3 linked regions of the Elephas maximus indicus genome follow. The protein of the gene in region 3 purifies or fractionates together with the protein of the main gene of each other region. This does not show direct contact. Links are inferred from orthologs where the notes say so. Each region holds a gene or a part of one and is shown on either strand. Other genes may lie near its edges.

Region 1 (7,023 bases), on a different chromosome or scaffold from region 3:
ACGCCACCAGGGTTTCCAAATCCAAGCACCGGAGGTGGTAAGTGGAAGGGGAAGTGACTGAGCCTTAGCAGGGTCTGGACGGCAGCAAACCCCCGCTCCTGCAGCACTAGCATCTTCTCCACCGAGTACTTAGATTACGGCAGACCCGGGGAGGGTGGAGCCGAGCTGCGGGAGAGGCTGACGGCGGAGCGGGGTGGGGCGAGGCGGGGCGGCGAGGCAGCCCAGAGGGGAGGGGTCCGCGGGCTTGCTGCAGTATCGATCCCTGCCCTGGAGCACCCGCGAGACCGGCTGGGGCTGCAGAGAGCAGGCTCCACCGCTGCCCCCTACCCAGGACACCAGGTCGTGGAGCTGGCGCCAAGGTGGGCGCTAAATCGGAACCTGCAGGCAGAAGCCCTCCCCCAAAAGGATCCGCTCCAAGTCAGAATACTGAAAATAGGCCTGCTGCCCGAATGGTGAGATTCAGTACCCCCAAGACGCAAGGGCACACTGAAGGGCACAAGGAAGGGCACGGTGCGGCCTGATTTCGGGGTTGCACCTCAGCAAGATGGTGGAAAGGAGGATGGGGCTCCTGGATAAGTAGCAAAGAAATGGATTCCTTGGGCCCCCTTCCTACAGAGGAAGGGCACTGATTATGGCTTGTGACCTCTTAGCACTGGAGAAGGCCTCATTACCTTCTGGAACAGAACACAGGCAGGGAGAAGCCATCTAGCCTTGGGGTGCAGCCAGATCAATACTCCAACACCTCAAAATGAAAAGTGGTTCCTGTTGCTTCCTGTCCCCCATTTAAGCTCTCCTGGTCTTTTGCTTCCTTCCTCCCCAGTTTCTCTAGTTGGGGCTGAGGGCAGGTGTTTCCTCTCCCCCAGCCCGCTGCCCACAGATTTGCCTGCTTCAGGGACAGGAGTCACCTTCCAGACCACCTGTCCACCAAGCTGCCACCACCCCTCCAGAGCCAGCCCCCCGAAGCCACCATCCACAGCCAAGGAGGGTCAGTGGGCTCACTAGCCACCACCTCTGCCAGCCCCCTTCCTCCTAAGGTCCTCTCCATCCAGCCCTTCCCTACCCCAAGGCCTCTCTCCACCGCCGTCCCAGCCTGGAATACCCCCCTGATCTCTTCCTTCCAGGTAAAGAAGGCCCAGAAGTGAGGGGCTGGAGGGGGGTCATCCAAACGAGAAGGGCAGAGAGAAGGGGCCGCTCTGGGGAGGGGCTCAAAGAGAGAGTGGCACCCCACCCAGAAGAGGAGATGGCGCTGTGGAACCGGATTTTATTTTCCCTCCCTCCCTACCCCTTTTTCCCTTCCCCCCAGCGGCGTCGGTTGAGTGCCCGCCTATTTCTTCATCTGACATTCCCCCTACTAGGCCAGCAGCGCCAGCATCTTGTCTGCAAGTTATTGTAAGTCCTGCAGGAATGCCCAGGAGGGAGGCGCCTCTGGCTAACAGAGTGCCCACTCCTCTCCCAGGATGCGGCGGCCGCTGCCACTCCCGGGCCCTCCACATCCCGCTGGAGAAGAGCAGTGGGTGCCTTGGCGCGATGGCGCGTGTGAGGCTGGACTCGCTGCAAGGAGGGTGCCAGCCGGGATCCTCCGCCGGGAGTGGGCCTAGGATGTGAGTGTGTGAGACTGTGGTGTGTGTGTGAGAACGAAGGGCAGGAGGGACAATTCCGGCCTTAGTTTCTAGCTCCTCAGCAAAACAACACTGAGGCCCAAGACGCTTCAGGGACTCCCCCCACCCCGACTTCCCCGAGGATGCCTCTCGGCAACCCCCAAACGGCAAGCCCTCACCAGCCCCAGGTCACCGGCCTTGACATCGCAAACTTTCCAACTTCACCCCTTCTTCCTCCCTTTTGGGACCCGAGATGTGTGGGGTGGTGCCCTTCAGACACACTCATACAGTTGGTTCCCGACGCTGGCACACACTCAAACAACAGCGGTACTAGGGAACTCCTAGCTTTTTTCCACAGCTAATTATAGCCGTGAAAGTCTGAGGATGTTTTCAAGAGGCAGAGAGAAAACGCCGAGGTTTCTCCGCAAAGCCAAAGAAATTTATTTTGTGCACCCCCCTTCCCATTGTGCGCCTCTCTTAGCCCCCCCCCAGGGCACCCCTTTTCCAGTCCCCACTGCAGCCCCTCCTTCCTGCTGAAGATTTCTTACTTGGTTCTTTTTTTTTTTTTTTTTTTTTTCCATCTCTCTTTGGGGCTTTCGAGAAAGAGAACAGACACGGAAAATATTTTTGCAACAGTTTTCCATTCTGCGTCTGATTCCCAAGCCAAGGGGGAGGCGGAGGACAGGAACGGACGGGAGAAATAAATGCTTTTCTAAGAGCTCAATTTGGGTGTCAGAACAGTCCTGTCGTTTCCCTAACCCCCACAGCCCAGGAATGACAAGAACCAGGAAAAACAAAAGAAATCACTTGTTTGATTATGTGATTTCTCAGAACCAAGTCCAGGAAAGAAATATTTGACAAATCTGTTCACAGGCACACACGGAAAAAATCCCCCCAAATCTCCAAACCCAGTCACATAAAATATGCTCGGAAGCAGAAATTCAGGGAGTTTTAAAACGATTCAAAAGAAAGAAAGAAAGTTTGCAAATCAAGAGTCAATTCATTCCAAGCAAGCCTACCTCTTTCTAGCAAGGATCCGGGCTTCTCCGAGCGGGGCTCTCCCTCCGGGTCACCATGGACCGGGATAGGGTGACGGTGACCACCCGCCGGCCTCCCCACTGTGGCAACCGCTCTAGCGACGCTGGCTTTGCTTTCTGGCCTTTCTTGCCAGATCCGGGGAGTGGGCTGGGTTTCCTCCTCGGCCCTTCCAAAGGGAAAGACCTCTCAGGTCCCTGGAAGAAAAAGGGTTCGGGAGAGCTGGGCGGGTGTCTTTGATCTTGCTCTCCTTGGAGGGATGGTTCCCCAGGAAGTTGGCGCCCCCCCCACCCCCAGTCCCTAGATTTGGATGGCCTCAACAGCAGAGCTTTCTTAAGAAAATGCTTGTCATGGCAACAGCTCCTGCCAACTCCGGCCAGACCCTCGCTCACCAGCTCCCCGGAGCAGTGCGGGCGGAGCAAGGGGAGGAGCCGGAGCTGGAACCGAGGTGGGACTTGGCGCCAGGCCAGACCATCACTCCGCTGTTAAGGTGGCCCGACCGCGCGCTGCGGCTGCTTCCTGGTGTGTCTTAAGGGGGAATGGGGAAGGGAACCGGAGGAATCCCCTTCTCACTCGGGTTTCCTCCCCGCCCTTACTCTCACTTGTTGAAAAGAAAGCAGAGTCGGGGGTGGGGGGGTGGGGGGGGAAGGTGGGGAGTGGATATGGGTGGCGGTATTCAACCGTTGCTGGGTGGAGGGAAAAAAAGGAAGCTTCTGCAGGCGGTTGGCTTCCTGCAGCTCCTACCAGCCTCTCAACTTCTTACTGGCTTAGACTCGGGACCCAGAAGCCTAGAAACCCAAAGAATCTGCGGAGACTTTTATCTCCCACCCTCCCGCCCCTCTGAATAGGGACTCCTGGAGTGGAAGAAGGAATTGCACTCTGTGTGTGTGTGTGTGTGTAGCTTTGTTTATGTACACACCTTGGTACAAACCTTCTCCACCAGATTTCACACACAGATTCCTGGGTGGCATTTTGCCCTCTCTTGCTTCTGTACGCACCAGAGGCCATATAGGGTGGGTGATAATAGCTGCCTACCCTGAGTCCTACGATGTGCCACCTAGGACACCAGAAGCTTTGTATATGTGGTATGGTTTCTAATCCTCACGGCAATCTTGAAAGATATTTATTATTGTTCTCATTTTGTGGGTGAGGAAAATAAGGACCCAGTGATTCGCCCAAGTTTACACATCTAGTTAATGACAGAACCAGGAGTTAAGGCCAAATCAGGCTGACTCCCAAGCCCATGTACTTTTCTGCAGTCCTGTGGCACACATTTCAGACATCCATGCGCACTCGCATACAGCCTACAAAGGTAATCCCACCGCCAAACTCACACCCCCACCAGCATTGTGCAACAGTGCCACCCATAGATTTTGCATAGAACTTTATGGCTTTCAAGTACAAACATGCACCATCAGCTGGTTCGCACAACACGGCTTCATTGACTGATAGATTCCCACACCCACCTCAGCACACAAGCTCACTCACATTTACATGACTATGGGAGGCAGGTTAACCCACACCTCATAGGTTATAGCTGCAAATTCTGCTGTGAAGAAGGTTACTGACTACAACTTCCCAACCTTCTTAACAGAGGTTTGGGAGAAGGCCTCTTTAATCCAAACATCCTAACCCAACACCTCACACAACACCTGTCCTCCTTTGCAGCCTTCCCTTCCCCAGAACACAGAGCCTTCTGGCCATTTCACTGTGCACATGGAGAAACAGAGTTGTGAATGAAACCCAAGGGTTTGGATTCTGCCAGTCAGCACCCTTCCCAATTTTCTAAGAAAAATCCTCACAACCGGACCGATAAGCAACATCATGATAAACAGAAAATATTGAAGTTGTCAAGGATTTTGTTTTACTTGGATCCACAATCAAAGCCCATGAAAACAGCAGTCAAGAAATCAAACAATGCATTGCATTGGGCAAATCTGACGCAAAAGACCTCCTTAAAGTGTTAAAAAGCAAAGGGGTCACTTTGAAGACTAAGGTGCACCTGATTCACGCCATGGTGTTTTCAGTTGCCTCAAAGACACATGAAAGCTGGATAATGAATAAGGAAGACTGAAGAAAAATTGATGCCTTTAAATTATGGTATTGGCAAAGAATATTGAATATACCACGGACTGCCAAAAGCACGAACAAATCTGTCTTGGAAGAAGTCCAGCCAGAACGCTCCTTAGAAACGAGGATGGCAAGACTTCATTTCATGGACGTGTTATTTTGGACATGTTATCAGGAGGGACCAGTCCCTGGAGAAGGACGTCGTGCTTGGTAAAGTAAAGGATCAGCTACAAAGAGGAAGGCCCTCAATGAGATGGAGTGACACAGTGGCTGCAAAAATGGGCTCAAGCGTAGCAATGATTGTGAGGGTGGCGCAGGATTGGGCAGTGTTTCTTTCTGTTGTGCACAGGGTTGCTGTGAGTCGGAACCAACTTGATAGCACCTAACAGCAACAACATCTATGGAAACCATCCATGGGATTTTCTCAAGCAGTTCTTTTTTCCTAGGATTTGAAGTTCTTGCCCTCCTAGGCACTTATCATTGTTGTTAGCTGCTGTCAAGTCTGCTCCTGACTCACGGTGACCTCATGCATAACAGAATAAAATGCTTCCCAGTCCTGCACCATCCCCATGGTTAGTTGCAAATTGGATCATTGTGATCCATAGTGTTCCCCTGGCTGATTTTCAGAAGTAGATTACCAGGCCTTTCTTCCTAGTCTGTCCTAGTCTAGTTCAGCTCTGCTGAAACCTGTTCAGCATCATAGTAACATACAAGCCTCCACTGACAGACGAGTGGTAAGAAATCTAACCCGCGTCTCCCCCTGTGAAAGGCAAGAATTCTACCTCTGGGCCACCACTGCCCTGTTCCTAGGCACTTAGAGGACACTACGGTGAGGTTTTGTTCTCATTTGCACCCCACCCCTCTCTCCAATTTTCTGGTCCTATCCTTCCAGGGCATTTCGGTGGAAGAACTTGGCACTGGCCTTGTGAGTTCTCCTCATTTTTACTGATGGTTGGGATAGAAAGGACACCTTCTCAGATTTTGGTAGGTCCCACCAAAACGTCAACTTCACGAACCAAAATCAATTGTTGGGGGAGGCAAGGGAATGAATGGAAAGAAATCAGCTGAACAGAGCTTCACATTTAGTGGCTTGTTATGTTCTCTGCTGGATTGCAACAACTTGACATTTTAGCACCCAGTGAGTGTCGGTTGCATCTTTATCATGAGAAAGCCAGTCCCCGAAATGGCTCTTTAAATGTATTACAGTATATTTTAAGCTTGTCTTCAGTGGCTGTATGTGGAGGCATTGCCTAACTCTTCGATAAACTTTTCTTGGGGGAATAATAATTCAGGCCAGATGTATGGCTCCACTAAAGGGGAAGTCTGCTTTGGCTGTCTGGCATGTGGGGGCTGGACGTGATGCCAGGTGACAGCTGGTCATTATTGGAAAGGCAATAGCCTTTTCTTAAATTCCCTGGGCTTCAGGGAGACAGGCTCAGCAGGGCAGGCGCTGCTGAAAGAAGCCTAATGTCTGTCCCACCTCCTCTGGCTAGGTTTCATGGATGAGCCCAGGTTGTGACTTCTAAGGTAGTTGGAAGGAGTCCCTAGGTGGTACACTGGACTACCAACCAAAAGGTTAATGGTTCAAACCCACCAGAGGTACCTCTGAAGTAAGGCCTGGCAATCTACTCTCAAAACATCACAGCCTTGAAAACCCTGTGAAGCACAATTCTAATCTGCATGCACGGGGTCGCCACGGGTCAGAGTTGACTTGATGGCAGCTAACAACAACAGCATGGTTGTTGTAGGTCTTCCCTTTTCTCAGAGCCCACTGCTTTCCCTTCTCTGCCTGGGGGGTTGTGGGGTGAGAAAAGAGAAATTCCCCTGTTCCATTCCCACCCCAGCCTCCATGAAGACAGGAGAGAGGGATTTGGGTGGTAGGACAAGGTGACTCCAGGGGTGACTTAAGCCTGATTTCTGGAGGTGAGCCAGCCACTGAAGCCTGTGCTTTCTGGAAACCCAGAAGCCTCAGTGCCTTGTTGCTTCCAGCAGCAGGTTTGGAGCTGAGGTCTAGAATGGGTAAAAATAAATCCATCCATAAAAATAACCACTAGATGTGGGAAAGTGGAGTTGTGCCCCTGTGGCAGGAGGGAGGGCATTGCTTCTGGCATCAGAAGTTCATAGTTTGGCTTTTCTGCAAGGTTCAGCTCCCCTAAGCCTCTGAGTAACCCCATTTGTCTTTCATCCTTGTCCTCCTCTTGACTTTACTTCTTTAGCTGTAGCCCGGCTCTCTTCAGTCAGGTGTCATGGCCTCCCCAGAGCAGGTGAATCTCTGCAGGGCTCAAGCCACTGTTGACACTGTCCACCCCATCCCTCTTTC
Region 2 (8,045 bases), on a different chromosome or scaffold from region 3:
GCCTTAGCCCACCCCCTCTCCCCACCCCTCACCTGTTTGAGCACTGTGATCTTTGAGTCATTGGTGATCAGTGCTGCCTGGTTCAGGAGATCCACCACCTAGAGGGGAAAGAAAGGCAGGGGGTGGTGCTGGCCTTGCCAGCCTAGCCCATTGGCACTCCCAAGGCTCTGTGATCTGGGGGTGGGGGTGGCCCGCCGAAAGCCAGGGCTGTGCATCCCAACTCCGAGCCCTTCTCTCCACACTCACCCTTTCTGAGGTGGTCATGCCATCAATGCCTGCTCCCTCCTCTTGTGTGAAAAACTGAGAGGCCACACTCCGGCGGGTAACACTGTCCCCACTGCTGCTCGCCATGGCTGCTGTCAGGTATCCCCTGGGGAAGAAGGGGATGGGTCAAGCTGACCTACACCCCATCACCAACACAGGGCTCAACCCACTTCCCCAGCCTGTCCTTTCCTTGTCCTGCCTTCCAAAGTCCCGGCCTACTCCAGACTACATGTACGTGTGCATGGTGGTTGTAATCTGGGGGAGACTGATGTCACTCGCCTTCCCTGATGGACTTCCAGGTCAGAGGCAGGTCCCCAAGTTCCAGCTCCAGTACTTTATATACAGCAAGCAGACCAGAACATCTGCTGAATGGCTGGATGCCAAATGAACCACAGAAGCCACCTTACTGGTCTCCATGCTTCCTGACTTTCTCAAACAAAGCTCTGAGGAACTCCAATCATGGAGCAGCCCTGCCCACAGTCGGTACCCGATACATCAGAAAAGCCCTAGTTAAAGAGGTTATATTACAGCTATTCTCTGGAATACTATGGAGCTGGGAGGGGAGGGGGGACTTTTGGACAGTGGTGGCTCAGTGATAGGATTCTAGCCTTCCATGAGCGAGACCTGGGTTTGATACCCAGTCAGTGCACCTCATGCGCAGCTATCACCTGCCTGTCTGTGGAAGCTTATGTGTTGTCAAGATGCTGAACAGGTTTTGGTGGAGCTTCCAAACTAAGACGAACCAGAGAGAAAGGCCTGGCTATCTACTTCTGAAAATCAGCCAGCGGAAACCCTACAGATCACAACAGTCCGATTCCCAGCCAATCGTGTGTGTGGCCAGGACCAGGCAGGATTTTGTTCCATTGTGTGTGGGGTTAGCATGAGTTGGAGACTGACTGGACGGCCGCTAGCAATAACATCCCAAAGTTATACTGGTAATATCATAAAATGATTAGTGTAGAAGGATCTCGATGACAGCTCTATTCGTAATAGCAAAAGGCCAGAAACAACCCACACGTTCTTAAATAATGGAACTGGTTGAAAAATTATGATACAACCACATGATAAATACTATGCCACTGGAAAAAGGACTAAGAGGAAAAAGAAAGAAATAAAGAAAATCTTTATACACTGATGGGGAGCAGACTCCTGTGTTATATTAAGTTAAAGGAAGTAAAGAGGAAGGTGGTGTTTATCACCATATGCTCCACTTCTATAAAAACAAATATATACATATATACATACAAAAAAGCAAACAAACAACAAACTGAAAAGACAAACCAAAAACCGTAAGTGGGAGAAAACAGTAAAAAAAAAAAGTGGCGGATCTCATGTACTATCAGGACAGGATGTCTACGACAGTCTGCTGTGTCACAAAACAGTACGTGCAATTCAATCCATTTCTGCCAAGCTTCTGCGTGTGTATTCACAGAATAACCTGAGGTAAGAAACTTAATCTCTCTGGGTCTCAGTTTCTATCTCTGTACAACGGGGATGGTAACAGTGCCTGACTGCCAAGGCTATTCTTAGTATATGTAGTAAATGTTAGATGAGTATGGCTATTGTTACCTACACGGGAAAAGAGCTGAAAAACAGTCCACAAACCATTAGCAATAATCACCTCAGGGGAACAGAATTTAGGGAGGGCAAAAAAGATACGTTTTTAAAAAGGAACATTATGTACTGTACAGAGTAGCTATTTGATAGATGTCTGCTGAATGAATGACTACAGTTATGGATTGAATTGTGTTCCCCAAAAACGTGTGTCAACTGGGCTAGGCCGTGATTCCCAGTATTGTGCAACTGTCCACCATTTCGTGATCTGATGTGATTTTCCTATGCATTGTAAATCCTATCTCTATGATGTTAATGAGGCAGGACTCAATCTACAGGATTAGGTTGTCTTCTGAGTCAACCTCTTTGGAGATATAAAAGACAGAGAAGCAAGCAAAGAGACAGAAGGACCTCATGGCATCAAGAATGAAGAACCAGAAAGGGAGTGGGTCCCTGGGTTGAGAAGCTACTAGACCAGGTGAAGATTAATGACAAGGACCTTTCCCTAGAACAGACAGAAAAAGAAAGCCTGGAGCTGGCGCCCTCAACTCGGACTTCTAGCCTCTTAGACTGGGACAAAATAAATTTCTCTTTGTTAAAGCCATCCATTTGTGGCATTTGTTAGAGCAGCACCACATAAGTAAACTGAGTAAACAGCCTCTTGCCTATGCTCCCTGCTGCCTGTCACTCCCACATCTCATTCAAAGTCGACCCAAAATCCTCCCCAGGAGTGCTACGCAGGGGAAGTGACGTTTGCGCCCGGCCCCAAAGGATGAATGGGAATTAGCCAGGCAGAATGGGTAAAAGGGTACTGCGGGCAGAAGGGTCAGCATGTGCAAAAGCCATGAGGCGGGGAGCTGCACGGCAAGTTTGAGGAACCGAAAAGCCGGTGCAGCTGTGAGAGGTGGGGGGTGAGCAAAAAGGCAGCGAGGAAGCCGGCGAGGTCGGCGGGGCGGGCGCGCTTTGGGGGCCACATTGGAACTTTGCCCTGAGGGCACTGGGGAGCCACGGAAGGGTGCTGAGCAGGGGAAGAAACAAGGGTCCCGAACGCCACTGCTCCCCTCTCCTGTCGCGGCCCCCCAGCGCCCCCGCCTCCTGAGGGCCCCTCCTCCCTTCGTTCCCCGGCCCCCAGGCCGTCCCCCGCTCACCGCGGCTCCGGCCTCCGTCCCCCTCGCGCCCCCTCAGCAGCGCCTCCTCACAGACGCCACCGACGCCATCTTTCCCTCGCCGCCGTGACACTGCGCACGCGCTGCGCACGCAGGGCTGCCGGGAAATGGAGTCCAGACCGCCCCGACCCCGCCCTTACCTCGTGCGGCGCGAGCGGCCTTCCTCACTTCCCCAGAGTGCCCTGAGACCGCCCCTCACAGGCTTCCGGGAAATGTAGTCCCTTGGTAGAGGCACAGGGCGGAAAGGGAGCTAGAGGCTTCTGGGAAATGGAGTTCCCAGTGGTTCCGAGTCCCTGGACGGCGGGGTTGGAGAGCTTAAAGAATCCCGGAGGCGAAGCTTCGAGGTGGTCTGTTGTCCTAGTGTGGTATGATCAGAGGCCCGGTTTCCCCATCCTTAGCCCTGACCCTTTCTTTCCAGTCTGAACATTTCCAGCCGTCGGAAGCCTCAGTATTCTCATCTGTACATTGGGAGTGCGCTTTCCAGGCTCTGCTAAGGGTCCTGATAGTGGTACATCGGTACCCCTAGAGCGCCCTGCGCGCTGCGCCCCTTTCCTCCGCCGTTGCCATGCTGGGCTCTGGATATTGGTTCTCTTTTGTCGAGGTGATGAACATGTCCCTCCCCCTCGGGTAGAAGTGCTCCAGAGCTGTACCTTCGGGGCCTTTAATATCAGCAGGGTCTCACCCCGGCAGCTCCCTCACTCTTCAGCCATCTCCTGCTCTCGCGTCCCCGGAATGCGGTCCCCGGCGCCTGAGGTCTCTCTCCTCGCAGTCCCGCAGGGGGCGCCCCAGGCCGAGCGCACCGCCCTCGGGGAGGCGGGAGGGCAGTCCGGGGCGGGCGAGGGGCGGGGGTGTCCCGGCTATAAAGCGTGGCCGCCTCCCGCGGCGCCCGGGACGGCGGGGACCCCGGGCAGTCGGACGGGCAGGCGCCGTTCGGAGTCGGGCCGTTCCTGCTGAGCGATCTGAAGTGTTCCGTTCCCCCGGGACCGGAACGGGAGCGGGTGGGGGCGCAGGCCCCGGGGATGCTGGGCTCGGTGAAGATGGAGGCCCATGACCTGGCCGAGTGGAGCTACTACCCCGAGGCGGGCGAGGTGTGTCCTCGGGGATGACGGAGCGGGAAGTGGGGGGCAGGCACCCGGGTGTGGGTTTAAATGGGGACAGGGATAGGCGCGTGGGCTCAAACGGGACCGGGGCATCTAACTGGGGAGACAAGGAACGGGGGACACGAAAACCAGGTGTGCGAATCCGGGACAGGGGACAAGGCATGGACTCGCGGCTTCGGCAGGCGAGCCGGGGTGAGGGCTCAAATAAGAGTCAGGAAAACGTAGGCAAAGGTCAGGTCATAGTTTAAACGTGAAGGCTGGGTTTTGGGGACCCGAAATCCCAGGGATTAAAATGAACAAACCAAAGATAGGAATCCGAGCTCCAGGGTAGCGGACAGAGTTGAAGAATTAGGAAATGGGGTTCAAAGTTGGAGGAAAGATAATGAGCTGGGGGTAGGGAGAAACCACTAAGGGAGGTTTGCGGTGGGAGCAAGGAGTCCTGATGGCGCAGTGGTTAAGCGTTCAGCTGCTGCTGCTGATGGAAAGGCCTGAGGTTTGAACCCACCAGCTGCCTCGCGGGAGAAAAGACCTGGCTGGCCATTTGCTCCTGTAAAGATTACAGCCTTGGAAACCCTATTGGACAGTTCTACTTTGTCCTATAGGGTCACTATGAGTCCGAATCGATTGGACGACAATAGGTTTTGGAGGTGGGAGCTCAGGTTTAGAATATGGTGGTAAAGTTGGGGGTTCAGGAATGAGGATCAAGGTGGCCATCTAAGATAGGGCCAGGAATAGTGGTTGGCACTCAGGAGTACGAGATGGGGGTGTTCAGAGATGAAGCTTTCTTTTGGGGGTCCGAGATAACAGACAGGTTAGAGTTGGGGCTCGGATAGATGTGGGCATCACCTTTGCGGGTATTTAGAGGGTGTGTTTCAATCTCCATCCTCCCATCCTTCCCCAGGACTCGCAGCCCCTCCCAGCTGAACTTAACTGCTATTAGAGTCCTTTAGCAGGGACTCCCCTCTTTGGAGGGTGGAGGGTTTCAGATTATCCCTGCCCCCCAGCAACCTCCAGCAATTGCTAATGTCCTCATCCAGTCTGATTTTAGACAAGGCCTCCTTGGATTTGTGGGTGGGGGTTTATCCTAATTCCCTCAGGCCAGGAGACAAGAAGTCCTTCTCCAAGTCTAACTACTGTTCCCCTTGTTGCAAGGATTCCTGCTGCTTTCTTTACTCACTCTATAGTCCACATGGAAATCCTGGTGGCATAGTGGTTAAGAACTACGCCTGCTAATCAAAAGTTTGGCAGTTGGAATCCACCAGGCCCTCCTTGGAAACTCTGTGTGGCAGTTCTGCTCTGTCCTATAGGGTCACTATGAGTCGGAATCGACTGGACGGCATTGGGTTTTTTTTATAGTCCATATTGTGAGACCTGGGAGTAGGGGATCCTAGTCTGAGAGTTACGGGGTCTGGATGCTTGTGTTCCTAACCTGGAAGGAAACTGCAAGCTTGAGGTGGGGATGTGAGGCTGGAATGGCTGAGTTTTCCAGGGAGACTGAGATCTGGGGGTTATGTGGGCCCCAGCATGCCTGAGTCCTGGGTCTGGGGTTTGAAGCTGTAGGGTGGGTCTCCTGGATCCCCAGACCTGTGGGGCCTGGCAGTGTGCCTAGGAGGGGCCAGTCATGGGGCAGTGGAGGTGTGAAGTGCACGTGGGATAGGGAAGGGCCAGCTGGGGAAGGGGCTGGGAGTGTTGAGAGGTAGAGGCGGGGCAGCTAGAGGTGTCAGTGGTGAGATGGGAAAGGTGGAGACCAGGGTGGGAAGTGGAGGCTCCTGGCTAGTGGGGGGATTCTAGCCGGGCCTCCTGGAGAGCTCAGAGTCTAGGCATTTGGCTTAAGAGGACCATCCACTAATCAGTGTTTTGGGGGCACATCTTAGAAGTAGTTTGTGGGCGAGTCTATGCTGGGGGAATCAATATTTGGGATGCAGTCTGGATGGATCCAAGTTTAGGGGAACAATTTGCACGGACAGTCTAGATAACTCAGAAATTGAAGGACAATCCAGAGGGGATCAACATTTGGGGACAGTTTGGGGGCATATTTTAGAAGAGTCCACATATGGGTAGCTGGAAATGGTTTGGAGGGTACTGTCTGGGAGTCTCCCCAAACCCTCCCATCAGATTAACCCACCTCCTTCCCTCTGGGCCGGAACAATGGGGCCAGAAATACCTACACTCACCCAGCAACCAACAGGGTCCTCAAACCACCTCTTCCTGCTGGGGTGATGTTGATACCCCCAGGCTGGCTCCCTGTCAAGAGAGTTTGGAAAGTTATCACCCCTGGTCCACCCCTACTGGCCTCAGGTTCTTAGAGATCAGCTGATCCACTGCTCCCCCATTTTAGAGATGGAAAATTGAAGCCCAGAGGAGTGTTGGGGGCTGCTTGAAGCCCAGGGCTGGGCCAGGGACTGGACACTAGGCTTCTGGCTTTGCACTGCCTACCTCTGCTCCCGTCACACCCTCCCTCAGGAACAATAAGGAAATGAAAGGGAAGAAATTCTAGCCTCCTGCAGTGGGGGTGCAGGTCCCCTGAGGGCTTCCCCCCATCTCAGCCCCACCCTGGCGGGGGAGATCCGGCTTAGACCCGGACACCGGGCTTCACCTCAGCCCTGGGGCGTGGGAAAGCCTAGGGTGGATTAGGGCAACTACAGAGCTTGAGGTCAGACCTAAAGGAGGACTTCCTGGTGGGTGGGAAAGCCAGTAAAGGAGGGCCCTAGGGTCTCAGTCTGTCTTACTCTGCTATACAAGAACTTAGCTGAGTTAGAGAATTGGTGGGGGGGGGGCGGGTGGCAAAAGGACTTAGAAATCCCTCCCCAACTCTCTCTGGATCCCACTGAATTCATTGCCTCCTTTCATCTCTGAAGGACCCGCCTTCCTTATTCTGGGGAGGGGGCAGAGCCAGCCAACCAGGGGGACACAGTGGGTGGAAGAGGGAAGTAACTTTGGCTCCGGTTTCAGTGTTGAACTTTTGGGGCAATGGTGATGCTGAGGGAAGGAGACAGATACCAAGATGTTCTGAGGGAGAAAGAGATGGGAGGTGGCAGGGGAGTGGGGGAGAGAGACAGAAAGCCATGGAAGGGTGGAGAGAGACAGGGGAGGGATGGGAAGGAGGGACAGGGTGGGGAGCAGATGGGGGGGGAGAGGTGGGGTTGAGGAGAGGAAGGCAGAGAAGGGAAGGGATAGTGGCAGGTGAGACAGGCAGGAAGAGAGAGACAGGGCGGGGGGGGTGTGAAAGAGATACAGACCCAAAGAGGGAAGAAGAGAGGGAGAGCAAAGGAGATGGGGGAGAGAAGGGAAAGAAAGGAGGAGAGAGGTGGAAGGGGGAAGAGAGAGAGGGGGAAAAGTCAGAGGGGAAAAGAAAGAGGGAGAAAGGGAACCATGGAGACATGAAGAGGAAAAGAACTTAGAGTTACTGAGACAGGGAAGGAGACAGACAGACAGACACAGACAAAACCAACCGAGAGCTCCAGGGATAAAAGAGAGAAGAGCTATCTGGAGAGACTTGCAAAGGAGCGAGGGGAGGATTCTTGACTGGGACTCTGACCTGGAATTGGTTGCCACCTGGCCCTGACCACCCCAGTGGCCATGGGCAAGTCCCTTTTCTCTCTGGACTTTGGGACCCGCAGGCACTGACAGTGCAGGCAGGGGAGGAGATGGGACCTCCTGACCCACACCAAAGCTGGCTCTGGCCAGAGCTATGGCAGCTCCCCCAGTGCCCTGGGACCCCCGGCTGCAAATGGGGACACTGCCTTCCTGGTCTCCCTGGAGGAGGAGGCAGGGCAGATGGAGATGTAGATGTAAGAGGGAGGAGACAGGCTGGGAGAGAGCAGGTGAGAGGGATAAATAGAGGATGAGAAAAACCATCATCGAAATCAGTTGCCATCAGGTCAGCCTGACTAATGACGACCCATGTGTGTCAGGATAGAACTGAGTTCCATAGGGTTTTCATTGGTTGATTTTCAGAGGT
Region 3 (7,409 bases):
CAGAGGGACAGGTCCTCACACAGGTGTGTCTTCCTCCCCCACAGGCCCCCACCACGAATGTGTCGTGCAGTCCCTGAATACTGCTGAGGGACACACACACGTATGCACACACACAGCCCCAGTTCCAAGGCAGTGGTGAGAAGAGCCAAGTGGTCCCCCACGAGGCAGCCCAAGGCAGGCAAGGCGACTGTCCTCGGCAGAGAGCCACCTCTGGTCTCCTGAGCTTCTCAGAGAGAATCAGGCCTCCCCAGTTGCGAAACCAGCAGCTGAGTACAGGGCAGGGCAGGGCTGGAACAGGGCAGGAAGTGGAGTCTAAGGTCCCCCCGCTCCCCGCGGGCTTCTCTACCTTTACAGCTGTTCTCACCACCCAGAGCTGCTAGAAAAGAGGCCTGGGGGGGGGGCGGGGGGGGGGGGGAGAGTCTGTTCCCTCTGCGTTTGTGAAGGGGTGAGTGTGGACTACCCCCACCCCCATCTATCAGCACCAGCGGGGCAGCATCCATGGGCCACATCCTAGAGATCTGGGGCTGCTCCGAACAAGGTGGATGTTGTCCCCAAGGGGCAGAAGTAGGCTCTGGGGGATAAAAACCCCTAGTGTCAAGGCCACTCTCAAGAGGCAGTGAGGATCACACATGATGTTAATTTTCAGTGTGGGACAATTAGTAAAAAATGTCTCAAAAGGCCCCTTACTGGGCAAGAACTGAAAAAAGCAGAAAAGCCTCCCCCACTTCTGCAGGAGGTTTAGGATTGGATCCCGCCTGGCCCCCAGGGTTCACAGGAGGCCCCCAAGAGCACTCAAGACCTCAGGAAGCCCTGACCCCCCGCTCCTAGAAAAGTCAAAGCTGATGCTGGCCACGTGATCTGCAGCCTGTGATCTCAAGTAAAGTCACCTTCATCTAAAAACAGCCACTCCCTCCTGCTTCCCTCTGGGCTGGGGGCCAGCCACGGGCCTGGAGGTAAACAAGCTGCCCAGGCCTGCAGGGGAGGCGCCCCGCCCGGGTGGAGCAGACAGCAGGGCTGCGGGGCACTGTCTGCCATCTGTGGGTCCCCCGGCCCCAGATTTCCCCAGTGGGAGAGAAGAGCAGGGCTGTCAGCATGAGAAAGGAAAACGAACCAAGTCTGCCCGGCAACTCCACCCTACTCCTGCTCAGCTCAGACCACCGCCTGCCCGGGAGAGAGTGTGGCGCTCAGCATTAGTTCGAGGTGAGACGTGTGTTGAGCTTGAACCCAGATAAGGATGCGTCCCCAACACCAGGTGGCTTCTAAAGGTCCCCTGCCAGCAACAGCCTATCTGCCGCCCCCTGGCATATCTGTGTCTCAGCATCTCAGTTAACAGCTGTGTGATTAGAAAAGCGAAGACCAAACAGTCTTGAAGTTGGTCAGGAGCTCCCACCCACTGTGCCCACTGCCAGAATGATGCCCCCACCTCTCCCAAGCACGGATTCCAGCCCTCACGTCTGCACTCTGTCCCCTATGTGCGTGTGGACACCGTAAATCTTTAACCCAAAACCAAACGTGTAGTCCAGATACAGGAAAGGAACAACCCTATGAAGCAAGAGAGCCCTTCTTGTGTTTCCCCTCAGACCATTCTTCCCACTTCAGCAAACTGCACTGGAAATCCACCACCACTGAATCTTTAAAAAACTACTCTGGACATTTCCTACCCTGAACTTTGGGGCCAAGGCAACCTCGTCATGACCTTGGAGTATCTTCCCTCCCTCCTGGGCCTCAGTTTCCCCAGCTGTAGGAGCAGGTGCGGACTAGAGCCCAAGGTCTGGTGAGGCCCAGCAGCAGGCCCCAGGTGGCACAGGGGACAGTGCACACCACAGCAAGGCTGAGGCCCAAATCCCATCGGGAATGATAATCCCCCCACCCAGGAAGCTGACCCATTTTTGAGCCATTTCACATGCACCTGTATTCGCGTCAGTGTGAGAATGACAGGAGCCCATTTTCCAGAAGAGAAAGCCCAAGCTGCCCAGGACATACTGGGACCACAGCCATGGATCCGAGTTCAGGGGAGGTGGGTCTTTCTGCTGCACCCCTACCCTAACACAGGCCCCAGGCAGGGGGTGACACCGAGATCCAGTCTCAGGTCGCACTCCAGGCCCTGCAGGCTCCAAGGGGCTCCCGGGACGAATGAGACGAGACCGAGGCCAGGCCCAGACTCCGACCCCGCAGTTCTGGCCCAAAGGGGAGGACGCTCAAGGACCCAGGCCCCGGTCTCCCTCCCTCTGGTCCAGACGCTCCTGCTGGAAGCGGCGGCAGGCGGCCCACCTCTGGAGCCCACCCCATATGCCCTCATCCAGGGCCAGTCCCCTCCCGGAGGCTCCAGCCCGGGGGCCCGAACGGCAGCTTGGGGACTGCACCTCCAGCACCGCCCCGGGCCAGGCGCCCCAGGTGCTCCCCCCAAGCTCGGGGGCTTCGCTCCCAGGTCCCGATGAGAAGCCCACCCGCCGCGAGCCCCGGCCGCGGGCTTCAGCCAGGCCTGTCCGGAGCTCCCCGGGAGCCCCCAGCGCGCGGCCTCACCGCCACTCCGCCCGGCCGCCCCCGGCGCCCCGGACCCGCACCGACGCCCCGGACCCCGCACCGGCGCCCCGCACCCGCACCGACGCCCCGCATCCGCACCGACGCCCCGCACCCCGCACCGGCGCCCCAGACCCCGCACCCCGCACCGGCGCCCCGCACCCCGCACCGGCGCCCCAGACCCCGCACCCCGCACCGGCGCCCCGCACCCCGCACCGGCGCCCCGCACCCGCACCGGCGCCCCGGACCCCGCACCGGCGCCCCGCGCCCCGCACCGGCGCCCCGCACCCGCGGCCTCCATGCCGGGCCCCCTTCGGGCGTCGCGACCCCGGCCCGGTCCTCACCCGCCCCGGAGGCGCCCTCGACGCCCAGGAGCGCGGCCACCAGCACCACGAGCAGCACGGCCGCCATGTCGCCTCGTCCGTCCTCCGCCGCCGCAGCCAACTGCCGCCACCCGTCGCCGCCGCCGCCCGCGGCCGCAATAAGAACCGGCAGAGGCCGCGGGCGCGCGCGCGCAGGGCGGCGTCCGGGGCGCGCGCACGCAGGGCACGCCGGCCGGTCCGTTTGCGCACGCGCGGGGGCGCACGTACGCACGCGCTGACTCAGACCGGTTAGCGCTAAGGGCATCCGGGCGGCGGCACCAGGCACGTGTCCGCGGCGAGCCACGCCTCCTGGCCTCCTGGCCCCCGGCCCCGGCGTTGCTAGGAAACGCGGGCGGGGCCGGCGAGGACCCGGCTGGGAGGCCGTTTCCCGCCCTGGCTTCTCGGAGAGTCTGTGGGCCGCGTCCGTTCGTCCTTCCGGCAGCGAGTCTTTGGAAAAGCTCTTAGTGAGGCTACAGGGTGCCAGCTGTGACCAGGTGGGATGCGAACCCCTGGCTTGATGCTACCAGCTTAGCAAATAAAAATACCGGACAGCAGTTAAATTTCAGATAGAGAACAAATAATTTTGTAGTGTTTAAGTGTCCCGTGCAATATTTGGACATAGTTATTTAAAAAAAAAAAAAAACCTATTTGTGTTTCTCTGAAATTGCAGCTTCACTGGTCGACCTCCATTTTGTCTGGCAACTCTGCCCTGGGGCCTGTGTTTTTACTACACACACTGACGCGAACGATGAATGCCGTGTGGGGTGTTCGCCTCAGAAATTAATCAACACTCGGATTTGACTCGCATAAACTCGTTTCGTTTACCGCAGGGGGGTCCTGCCAAACAAAGCACGCAACAAGGCCCCCGCCCGTAGAGCCAGAGAATCAGGCAACAGCCACCGTTATCTCCGTGGTGAGAGCTCCGTGGTGAGAGCCCCGTGGTGAGAGCCCCGTGGTGAGAGCCCGTGGTGAGAGCCCGTGGTGAGAGCCCGTGGTGGGAGCCCCGTGGTGAGAGCCCGTGGTGGGAGCTCCGTGGTGAGAGCCCGTGGTGGGAGCCCCGTGGTGGGAGCCCCGTGGTGGGAGCCCCGTGGTGGGAGCTCCGTGGTGAGAGCCCGTGGTGGGAGCCCCGTGGTGAGAGCCCGTGGTGGGAGCTCCGTGGTGAGAGCCCGTGGTGGGAGCCCCGTGGTGGGAGCCCCGTGGTGGGAGCCCCGTGGTGAGAGCCCGTGGTGGGAGCTCCGTGGTGAGAGCCCGTGGTGGGAGCCCCGTGGTGGGAGCCCCGTGGTGGGAGCCCCGTGGTGAGAGCCCGTGGTGAGAGCCCGTGGTGGGAGCCCCGTGGTGAGAGCCCGTGGTGGGAGCCCCGTGGTGGGAGCCCCGTGGTGGGAGCTCCGTGGTGAGTGCTCCGTGGTGAGAGCCCCGTGGTGAGAGCCCGTGGTGAGAGCCCGTGGTGAGAGCTCCGTGGTGAGAGCCCCGTGGTGACAGCCCCGTGGTGGGAGCCCCGTGGTGGGAGCCCCGTGGTGGGAGCCCGTGGTGGGAGCCCCGTGGTGGGAGCCCCGTGGTGAGAGCTCCGTGGTGAGAGCTCCGTGTTGAGAGACTCCAGGCGTTTTCTCTGAGGAGTGGTCTCGGGAGGAAGGCTCGACCACGGGTGGGGTCCCTCACAGCTGGGCGCGAGGTTGGCAGCAGCGAGGAGCTCCCATCTCTGCCTTCTCAGCGGGTGGGCGGAAGTTCAGGGTTTACATACAGATGCCTCGTCTTGGCCTCACAGGATGGGCCCACTGTGACATCAAAGACTAGTTGGTAACGTCTTCTCTGCAGAGTTAGAGGTTAGCCGAATGTCTCGTCTTTTCTTCAGGGTTAGAGATGAGGAAGTTGTTTAGATTTATATCTCAAGACTAGTTTCTGAAGCTTGCTATGCTGTTTGCTTTCGTCGCAGCATGCCAGGTTTAAGTCAACTTTATGGTTATTCACGCTCTTCACCCACTTCACTTGCTTCTATTTGTCAGTTAGGAATTTCTAAATCACTTTCTAATGATTTACAGTTAATGGTTAGAGAGGCCTACAAAGGCAGACATATTTCTATTTCTAAATTCATATTATGAGTACATACATATATGTATATATGCAAGGATAGGAGTGACTTAGACTTAATATGATTGGAAAGCATTACAGAAACATACAGAACAATAAAGTAATTTCAAATGCTGATAAATGCAAATGTAAAAAACATCGCTGTTGAGTCGATTCCAACTCATGGCGGTAGCCCAGTGCGGCAGAGTAGAAACTGTATGTGCTCTGTAGGGTTTTCTTTCTTTTTTTGCTTAAACAAGCAGGAATTTATTTTCTAACACTTAGGCTGGAAGTCTGAATTCAGGGTTTTGGCTCTCGGGGAAGGCTTTCCCTCTCTGTTGGCCCTGGAGGAAGGTCCTTACCTCTTTTCAGTTTCTGTTCCTCCGTGATCTTCCTGTGACTTGGTACCTGTCTTCCCCCATCTCTCTCCTCAGCTTGCTTCCTTAATCTGCTCTTTTATGTCTCAAGAGAGATTGATGTAAGACGCACCCAACACTAACACTTCCTCATTAACGTAACAAAGAAAAGCACTTCCCAAATGGGACTATAAGGACACATAGGGTTTTCAGTGACTGATTTTTTTTTGGAAGTAGATTGCCAGGCCTTTCTTTCCAGGCACCTCTGGATGGACTCAAACCTCCAGCCCTTCAGTTAGCTGCCAAGCACATTTACTGTTTATACCACCAGGGGATCAAAGACCTAAATATAAGTACTGAACTAGAAAACTCTTAGAAGAAGAAAAAAAAACAGAAAATTTTAATTTTTTTCTAAGAAAACATGGGGATAAATCTTTGTGACTTAGATTAGGCAATGGTTTCTTAGACATGACACCAGAAGCACAAGAAACCAAAGAAAAAGTAGATAAGTTGGACCCCATCCAAACTTCTGTGCTTCAAAGGAAACCACCAAGAAAGTGCAAAGACAACCCATCAAATAGGAGAAAGTATTTGCAAATCATATGTCTGATAAAGGACTTATACCTGGGATCTATAAAGGACTCTTACAAGCTTATAATAAAAAGACAAACAATACAAAATCAGCAAAGACCCGAATAGCCAGTTTTCCTAAGAAGATGTACAAAAGGCTGATAAGCATAGGAAAAGGTGCTTAACATCATTAGTCATCGCCAAGGGCCCCTTCACCCACACTGGGATGGCTATTATAAACAGACAGATGATAACAAGTGTTGGCAAGGACGCGGGAAGACAGGCATCTTCATCCATTGCTCATGGGAAGGTAAAATGGTGTAGCCGCTGTGGAAAACAGTTTGGTGGCTCCACAAAAACTCAAACGTAAAACTGATGTGACCAGCAATTCCACTCCGAGCTATATATAAAAAATATATATATATACATACAGACGTATAATGTGGAGAAAGGGGACAGCCCAAGTGTCCATCTGCAGCTGAATAGATAATACAACGTGGTCCGTCCACACAACGGATTATCAGCCATAAAGAGGGAAGAAGTACTGATACCTGCCGTAACGTGGACGGACCTCACAAACATGATACTCCGTGAAAGAAGTTAGGCACAAAAGACCACATATTGTCTGATTCCATTTTGATATGAAATGTCCAGAATAGGCAAATCCATAGAGATGAAAGTGGATTAGCAGTTTCCAGGGACCAGGGGAGGAGGGATGGGGAGTGACTTTTAATGGGTACAGGGTTCCCTTTTGGGGCGGTGAGAAGGTTCGGGAACCAGGCAAAGGTTTTGGTTGCACAGCATTGTGAATGCCCTAAAAACCGCTGAGCTGTGCACTTTAAATGGGTAAAGAGCCTGGTGAGCAAATTACATCTCAATACAAAAATAGGGTGATGTGAGTTCCCAGGGGAGAGTGCCTGCTTCAGGTGAGGGTCCAGCAGCTTCTTCAAGGAGGTGACATTTGAGAACACAGTGTCCCCTGCCTGAGCAGGAGGGAAGCGTTATCCAGGGAGGGGTCTTCTCAGAGCTGATGGAGCCCAAGTATGGTGGACAGGGAGGGGAGGCTGGAAGGACGGGCAGTGCTGGGCGACAGAGGGGCATGCTGATGAAGGAAGGGGCTGAGCTGGCAAGGGCTTCAGGCCAGGGATGGCTGCGGGTCAGGGGCCTGGGCCTCAGAGCAGCCGAGCCCCAGCCCTGGCAGCCATCCAGGCTTAGAAAGGCTGCCAGCCCCACTGGGGGATTGGGAGCTACGTGCAGAATCGGGGAGGACCACGAGGCCCAGGCAGGGGCCACTGGCTTCAAAGCCCTTCCAGGGTTGTAAACAACCCCTCCTGCCTGGCTGATATCCTGAGCCTCCTGGCGAGCTTCTGCTGAATTCCCCCTCGGCATCCCACATGTCGGAAAACAGGCCTCCTGGGAAACATGAGGGCCACCTGCAGCTTCTGGAAGCCTTAGTCTTCATGTACAAGGTCAAGCTGCATCTCTTTGAAGACACGGTGTCCTGGCACTCCCCGGCCCCCTGACCCATGCTCTGCTC

What was found.
Region 1: the proteins of BSG (region 3) and ATP2B4 purify together in Homo sapiens (affinity purification with mass spectrometry; 3 studies listed by BioGRID and IntAct, counting the BioPlex papers as one, with this or other methods). This does not show direct contact. The link is inferred for Elephas maximus indicus from reciprocal best matches to the Homo sapiens genes BSG and ATP2B4.
Region 2: the proteins of BSG (region 3) and SYMPK purify together in Homo sapiens (co-immunoprecipitation; 3 studies listed by BioGRID and IntAct, counting the BioPlex papers as one, with this or other methods). This does not show direct contact. The link is inferred for Elephas maximus indicus from reciprocal best matches to the Homo sapiens genes BSG and SYMPK.

What each region holds. Positions count from the first base shown.
Region 1 is NC_064836.1:12,759,344-12,766,366, reverse strand, and holds the start of ATP2B4 (plasma membrane calcium-transporting ATPase 4), read right to left. Parts: upstream 3,036-7,023; 5' UTR 2,618-3,035; intron 1-2,617. UniProt on the Homo sapiens protein: Calcium/calmodulin-regulated and magnesium-dependent enzyme that catalyzes the hydrolysis of ATP coupled with the transport of calcium out of the cell. By regulating sperm cell calcium homeostasis, may play a role in sperm motility.
Region 2 is NC_064829.1:103,798,575-103,806,619, reverse strand, and holds the start of SYMPK (symplekin), read right to left. Parts: upstream 3,052-8,045; 5' UTR 2,967-3,051; intron 401-2,966; exon of another isoform or gene 371-400; 5' UTR 352-370; coding exon 247-351; intron 99-246; coding exon 33-98; intron 1-32. Other genes in the region: FOXA3 (hepatocyte nuclear factor 3-gamma), read left to right, coding at 4,004-4,072. UniProt on the Homo sapiens protein: Scaffold protein that functions as a component of a multimolecular complex involved in histone mRNA 3'-end processing. Specific component of the tight junction (TJ) plaque, but might not be an exclusively junctional component. May have a house-keeping rule.
Region 3 is NC_064821.1:308,561-315,969, reverse strand, and holds the start of BSG (basigin), read right to left. Parts: upstream 3,029-7,409; 5' UTR 2,932-3,028; coding exon 2,865-2,931; intron 1-2,864.